Linked DNA regions of Danio rerio. The main gene of each other region encodes a partner of the protein of the gene in region 2 in a complex. Links are inferred from orthologs where the notes say so. Each region holds a gene or a part of one and is shown on either strand. Other genes may lie near its edges.

The links.
Region 1: the proteins of naa50 (region 2) and naa15b are in contact, whole or in part, in a cryo-EM structure (PDB 6PPL), measured with the Homo sapiens proteins. The link is inferred for Danio rerio from reciprocal best matches to the Homo sapiens genes NAA50 and NAA15. Residues at the interface, in NP_079422.1 of Homo sapiens: Arg5, His14, Asn15, Lys17, Gln18, Arg21, Leu22, Val25, Phe51, Asn52, Ile54, Ala55, Leu80, Pro82, Tyr83, Leu86; in NP_476516.1 of Homo sapiens: Pro369, Pro370, Thr371, Leu374, Ser403, Thr404, Pro405, Thr406, Leu407, Ile408, Phe411, Glu433, Ala436, Leu437, Asp438, Thr439, Ala440.

What each region holds. Positions count from the first base shown.
Region 1 is NC_133176.1:43,721,104-43,724,622, forward strand, and holds part of naa15b (N-alpha-acetyltransferase 15, NatA auxiliary subunit b), read left to right. Parts: intron 1-2; coding exon 3-107; intron 108-1,300; coding exon 1,301-1,458; intron 1,459-2,782; coding exon 2,783-2,917; intron 2,918-3,519. UniProt on the Homo sapiens protein: Auxillary subunit of N-terminal acetyltransferase complexes which display alpha (N-terminal) acetyltransferase (NAT) activity. The NAT activity may be important for vascular, hematopoietic and neuronal growth and development.
Region 2 is NC_133199.1:25,053,981-25,058,030, reverse strand, and holds the start of naa50 (N-alpha-acetyltransferase 50), read right to left. Parts: upstream 2,816-4,050; 5' UTR 2,697-2,815; coding exon 2,689-2,696; intron 654-2,688; coding exon of another isoform or gene 651-653; coding exon 517-650; intron 1-516. UniProt on the Homo sapiens protein: N-alpha-acetyltransferase that acetylates the N-terminus of proteins that retain their initiating methionine. Has a broad substrate specificity: able to acetylate the initiator methionine of most peptides, except for those with a proline in second position.

The DNA.
Region 1 (3,519 bases), on a different chromosome or scaffold from region 2:
AGAGACGCTGGCGATGAAGGGCTTGACGCTAAACTGCCTGGGGAAGAAAGAAGAAGCCTATGAACTAGTCCGCCGAGGGCTCCGAAATGACCTGAAGAGCCACGTCTGTATCCTTGGAGCTTGAGACCATTACACGCTTATGAATGCTTTCAGTTTGATATTTAAATGCATTAACCCATCAGTATTCAGAACAGAGTGTGGTAATGGTCCATGTGTTGGAATGAGTTTGTTTCCTCATGTTCACAGCACCAGAATTAACACTCGTCTCAGTTTGAAGCCTGTCGCTGGCGGTGGGATGCTGGATGTCCGCCAAGATTCCTGCCCTGTGTCTGACCATGATGCGCAGTGACACCATGAACTGTTTGGAGAGCTAAACACATAGTGCAGTGTTTCCTCGCTGACAGCCAAATGCTTCACATCCCAGAGGTTCATGTTAGACACAGAAAATTACCATTTTATAATAGAATAGGCCACTTCAGGACTTTAATATGTTGTTTTATTGGCTTTCTGTGTTTTCAGAATACCAAAAAATGAACAAGCAGACCCTGTACTTTCCATTGAGCCATCCAATGTTTAAAGATTTTAAACCTATTATAGTATTTCATAGGATTAGTAAATGGCAAAAAGAATAGTATTAAACAACAAACTATATGACATTAATCCTGTTCTGTGGGTAAAATTGGCATTTGTATTTTCAGTGATGATCACGGTTATGCCATATAAAAGCAGGGTTAAATGAGGTAGAATTGCAAGTTATTGATTTAGTTAAAGTTATTGATTTCACAATTTTATTAATCCTCTTCACAAGTCCAACATCTCACACATTTTGTGAAATTGTTCTAGTTCTTTTAAAGAGATTATATCACCATACACCATCATTTCCTTCTTTTGTTGAGTACAAAACAAGATATTCTGAAGAATGTTCTATTAAAAGCAGGAGTTGACATATAGTGTTTACAAAAATACTATTAAAGTCAACATTTTCCCAACAACCGTTATTTTGTTTGTTAGGGAAAAAACTTTAGTTTAATTAGAAAATGTAGCCAAGATACTGTCAGCTTAAACGGTATATTATATTTTTATGAATTTAGATGCCACTTTATTATTATATCAAACGTAAGCCAATTAAATTTGGCAACATATTATGACCCCCCCCCCTGCTTAGTGTGCAGGTTAAAAAAACAAAACATCTCAGACCTTGTGAATTTTCTCTGGGCTCAATTCTGGACTGACATCAGTCCTCTAGTGTTGAATTCTGTCCTTGCAATGTTTTTTGCTTTCCTTAACATGACATTTTCAGGTTGGCATGTGTATGGCCTGCTCCAAAGGTCTGACAAGAAGTACGACGAGGCTATTAAGTGTTACAGAAATGCACTGAAATGGGACAAAGACAACTTGCAGATCCTTCGAGATCTGTCTCTGCTGCAGATCCAGATGAGAGACCTGGAGGGTTACAGGGTGAGTGTGTGTGTGTTTCCTCACTACCTTTTTGTGTTTGTGTAATTGCATTTAGCTTTGCCAGCACAGAAAAAAAATGTTTTAAAAGTCTAGGAACTGAAATGATTTAATGTTGGGGTTAATAATAATAATAAGTTGTAAAATACACACAGCGTTGGTGGACATGAAAGACTTCTATCTAAAGCAGTGGTCCCCAACCACTGGGCTGCGGACCGGTACCGGTCCGTGGAACAATTGGTACCAGGCCACATAAGAAATAATAAATCATTTCTGTAGAAAATATTCCCCCCGCGACTTGGTTTCTTCCACTCACCCCCGCCATCTCACGTGAAATGGACTATGCCAAAATCCAACACGGAGCGCGAAGAATGATCGCTAGAATATATCTCAGGGGTTGTTGTAGATAGTTTAAAGTTATAAAACCGGTATTATAGAGTCCAAATCAGCAGACCATTTAAGGATTGTGCATATATGTGTGCGTGCATCTCTAAGTGAGTACCCGAAATCATTACAATATGTATCTATATGGAGTTTCACATAATCATTCTCATTAGGGCTGTAACATGCCAATGCATACATTTAATTCAGCTATACGATTGTATTATTGTTAATATGTTCGTCAGATGAAATGTTTGGCACAGATGTTATTTATTTGATGCATATAAATCTTGATTGTAACATAATTGCAACTAGCGCATGCGCACTGAATTGTTCATGATTAAACTGGATGCACCAGAGCAGCAGCTGTGTTTACGTGAAGACCCCCCCGGCCCACACCGGTCCGTTGTAAAATTGACAACCGTTGACCGGTCTGTGGTGATTAAAAGGTTGGGGACCACTGATCTAAAGCGTATACAATCTTACCAACCTTAAACTTTTGAACAGCAGTGCATTTTTTATTGTTGGACTATGTTTTACGTGCTTTAATATGCAACTATACTAAAGTATCAGGTTAATAGATTCATTGCATTAGAGAGCCCAGTTTTGCACAACGTAAAGGTAAAAAAAACAAATACAGGTCAAGTACAGGGCAGTGACTCAGCAATGTCCTTTTCCTGTCTTTTGTTTCTTTGTCTTGTACACTGTGATAAAGTTGCTGTTTAATGTTTCATGCCTTCCGGCGACTCTGATACCTGCTTCTACCACTGAAATGAAAACCTTTTAGATTTGAGCTTTGTGCAGTCTGGCTTCACTGTTTTCTGTAGTTTTAAACCCTACTTTAATGCATTGATTTGAAAGGGATCCTGTTTCTTCTCTGCATTCAGCAAAGCATAAACCTTTTTAATGGGAATGTCAGAGTGTCATTGTTTAAACTGTCTTGCAGGAGACGCGGTATCAGCTGCTGCAGTTGCGTCCTGCCCAGCGGGCGTCGTGGATTGGTTATGCCATCGCGTATCATCTCTTAGAAGACTATGAAATGGCTGCCAAAATCATTGAGGAGTTTAGAAAAACACAACAGGTAAATACAGGCAGAACTGGTCTATAAAGTAAGTCTGTAGTTATTTTTCATTGGCTGTCAAAATTAGGGTTGATGTCAACCAATTTAGCATCGTACGATGTCAAATGTAAAATATCACTATGGACGATGGCATCTTTGTCGTAGGCGGCGGTGAATTAATTATTTATGAATAATTAATTAGTTCATAACGAATTAAATATTTGTAGCCTATTGTTTGTAACTACCTGACACACAAATTACCTGTTACTAGTTACACACAAATTACCACCTGTCAATCACTTTTTTCTGCGAATGAGTAGGCAGAGTGATCTGTGTTTTAATGGTGCCGACAAACTTGGTTTATTAAAAAGGTCCCTTGATAAACTGTCTGACGTGCACTGCTCTGTGTTGTTTTGTGTTCAAAGCACCCTCTGACTGCCTGGAGCTCAGACGTGCTTATATGCTAGAGTGCTTGACAGTGTGTGTGTGTGTGTGTGTGTGTGTGTGGTCACATGATGGCCAATTTTTAGCTGTATAGTGTGGAAGGAGGGCTTTTCAGAAATGCTAGATGAAACGCCAGTGTGGACGTTTTTGTTATAAAATGCCATTTTAGAATGGCATTT
Region 2 (4,050 bases):
CCCTTATTTCTTTGCGGCAGATGTGCACCCTCTGGCCTTCTGAGGAGAATTACTAGTGATCACAGAGTCAAATTTCACTGACAGGATGTGCATGACAATCACAGCCTTTGATGAATTGCAATCTCCATTTCATTTTGATTAATCACAAGGCCCTAAAAAAAGACTTACAGAATTACAATATTTTTATTATTATCTGAGATTTACGGTGACTTATGTTCCAAACTGACTTATAAAATGCCATTAATGTAAAGCTATCAAAAAATGAAAAGCTTGCACGCATTTTGTTTGACAGTAAAGGATAAAATATTTGTATTTTGTTTTTACACTCACTGCTAGCTTCAGTTTATTTTAATTTATTTGGTCTTGACAATATATAGACTTTAGAATTTTTTTATTCGAAAAAATACTACACAAAATATTTCAGTTCTTATTATGTCCTGAACAGTTGAGTTACGGCTTTGTTGTGAAGTGAAGTGAATTCAAATGTAAGTGTTTTGCATCAGCGTTGTTACATACCTAGCTTGGCAAGCTCTCCCACTTCAAGAACATCTTTGTAGAACTTGTCGTTGTAGCTGACAGGGAAGATCACTTGATTCAGACGCTTCAATTGTTTAATGTTGTGGGGTGTAACATCCCCCAACTCGATCCGGCTACTAGAACAAAAGCAGAATGGTCAACTAGCTGTGAACTGACAAACAATGTCCTTTTCTTTACATGTCAGGTCAGCAAACAGTCCACATAAATGACAATATTACAGCTTTACTATTAGAAAAGCCCAAGATATTAGTACAATATCAGTTATCAGTTGATTCTGCTGCATACAAAGCGTCTATGGATATCCATTTTTACCTAATATTAGATTTATACATCATTGTCATTTGTGCTCATTGAACTTCAGGAACAGTAAAATTAATAATGTATACATGATCTTCACTATTTAATCACATTTAATGGTGTAATACTTAAATTACTTCTATAGTTGAATGCAACAGAGTATTTCATTTATTTTATATTAAAATTTGTATTGTATTTAAGCGATAGTTCACCTAAAAATTATAACTTTGTCATTGTTTCCTCATAGTCCACTTATGTCAAACCTGTTTGAGTTTCTTCTGTTGAACAAAGGAAGATATACTGAAAAATGATAGGAAAAAAACAGCCATTAATTTAAATTTGGTTTCTTTTTTCCGACATCATTTGTGTTCAACTGAAGAAAAAAATTTGTAAAAGTTTGGAAACACCTTAGATCGAATAAATGGTGAGAAAATTGTATTTGGGGGGGGGTGGGGGGGGGGGTGGGGGTGGGGGGGGTGAACTACCCCTATAATAACTTAGTATCAGCACATCCTCATTTATCTTTCGTGTGTGTGGGTGTGTGTGAGAGAGAGATACCCTAAAGGTGCACCCACAAAACTACACATTTCTTGTATAACTATGATCACCGTAAACCAGCAGTGCAAAAAGCAGGTATTTATAGGGAGGCAGCAAACTGAAGCCCAACACCAACAACAGCTGCTGGTCACATGTTCACCACTGCCACTGAACAACCAGCATGAGTTGACAGGAGAAAAACATACACACTAAATAGAGTTTACAGAACTTATGATCACAGAACAAATGCCTATACTACTATACACGGTCTTGAAATCAAAGTCCACTGATTAAAACAAGTTAGATAATAAAGTTTACCAATGCTTGGTAAAGCGATGAGAGTAAATACGTTTCAGATGATATTGCAGACTTTTAAAGCAATGGTGCACCACTTCTGTTCATGAAGGGCCCCTTAAAAATACATTTAGTATGTTTTTTTCTAGTGAAACACCTGATTCCCTTCAGCTCCATAGCAGAGACTCTTAATGGGTGTGTCGGATAAATGTGTACTGCTGGAGGCCTTCCAGGAACAGGGCTGGGTACCACTTTTTTACAGATGTGAATTCAAAACTTTAAAATATGAAATATTTTATGATATAAAACAGAATTGGATTTAGAATAAAAATTTAAATATCGCTGACTTTTCTTTATTCTACACACATGGTCACAGCAAACCACTACAGTGAGCTTAACGTAGCATATTAGACATATTTATGCATCGTTTCATCCATCAAACGTTAAAGAATCGTCCTTCATAAAGTGTTTTAAGACCGTATGAACTTGTTCTGTCATTTTCAAAGAGGACATGCTATGCGGCTAAGCTCACTCCATCACGTGTGTCACATTTCAATTCTTACATCAAAATAATCTCACATTAACCCCAACATGACAGCAACAAGCTTTAATACACTGCTATTAAATGTAACGATCCATCTGGGCGCCCATTTGGGAGAGGTTTCAGATTGGCTTGCTAACCAAGATAGCAACTTGAAGACTGACTCAACATTTTCGGATTTAGATTCGACACACGATCCAGTTTGGCACGGACTTCACTCGTGCCGTTTGTACTGGCATAAGATTTAATCTGGTGCTAGATTACATGAGGCACTTTTAAGCTATTTTCTGGAGATTTTGGGAAAAGATTAAGGTAAAACTAGGTGTAAAAACGCGGCGCAAATGTCTCTTCTCCACATTAAGCGCGCAGAGAGCTAACAGCTAGCATTAGAGCAACTCCACTGCCCCCCTGCTGGAAAAAAGAGAATAGAGAGGGGAAAACTTTACTTGAGAGGAATAGAGCCTTCTCTGTCGTCTACTCACCCTTTCATGTTGAAGAAAACACGTTTGTTGTGAGGGATACAGGGGCAGTTGGCGGTATTTGGCAGTCTAAAGGGAAATTTGGGCAGAGTTTGGGATGTGATCCCCTCCACATGTATGTTGCTAGCACACAAGCTAAGCAGTCCGCATTTGCCTCTGTGCTGTGGCCGAAGGTTGCCAAGTCTTTCCTATTAAACCAACACATATAACTTAGATCAGATTGTGAATTAGGAAAACGATATTTTAGTTGTTTTTTATAGTTGATTTATCGATAATGTTCATTTATAGATATAAATTATGTCATATGAGTTGAGATTGAACCCCGAAATAGGCATTTACGACTATACATAAGTAATTAGTCGGTGGTTACTGATGGTTGATTTGGCAACCTTGAATTCTGGGAGGCTGCTGCTGTCAACCTTCACCACTGACAACTAGCAACAGGAAATAGAAAAAAAACGGGAAATTGCGTTTTTGTGACTTAATAATACAAGTCTTATTGTTTTAATCCAAATAAAATGTTGTATAATCTCCTTCTCTAAAGACTTAGAAGGATTTAAAAAAAAATAAAAACATATTTCATGGACGTGATCTAATACAAGAATATTTTGTAAAATAAATAAAAGTGTTGTCCTTGGAATAAAACATTTATCTTCTCCCTGTTTGTGAAACCAGACCAGGTTTTATTGTTTTGAGTTTGTGTTGGCTTGTATTTCAAACTTATATTTAAACTCACAATACCGTGTTCAAAATTACACTGTTAAAAATTCCTTTATTTGCTTATTACAGCAAGATTTTGCCCCTTAGGTTACACAGATTTCACTCCACATATAAATGCATCAACTTGCTGCAATCTGTTGACTTATTATAGGTGCATATATTCATTTAATGTGTTCTAAAATTAAATTAATCTGACATTTTAAATGTATAGTCCATGACTGTCTACTTACACGTAGAAACACCCTTAAAAGAAAATGCCACCAACGAAAGTTACATTTTTAGTTTGAAGGGTGTAAGGTAAAATAATTTATTAATCACAGCATAGTATGCGATAGCCTAATCACTACTCTTCTTGAGTACTTTTAGAAAGGCTACTTTTACTCACACATCGAGTGGTATTTAGAAAACAGATACATTTACAAGTGTCTTGCACTGCATTATTTTGGCAAATAACAGTACTTATGCTTGAGTATGATGTTCAGTACTCTTTCCATCACTGCTTGTCAGGTAAACATGTGTTTTGTCAATTACAATACAATTACAATAGTCAGTTTAAAGGTAGGGGTGGCTTCTTCTTGGTTCGAGTCCCAGTTGAGCCAGTTGGGATTTGTGTGTGGGGTTTACATGTCCTCTCCATGTTCGCCT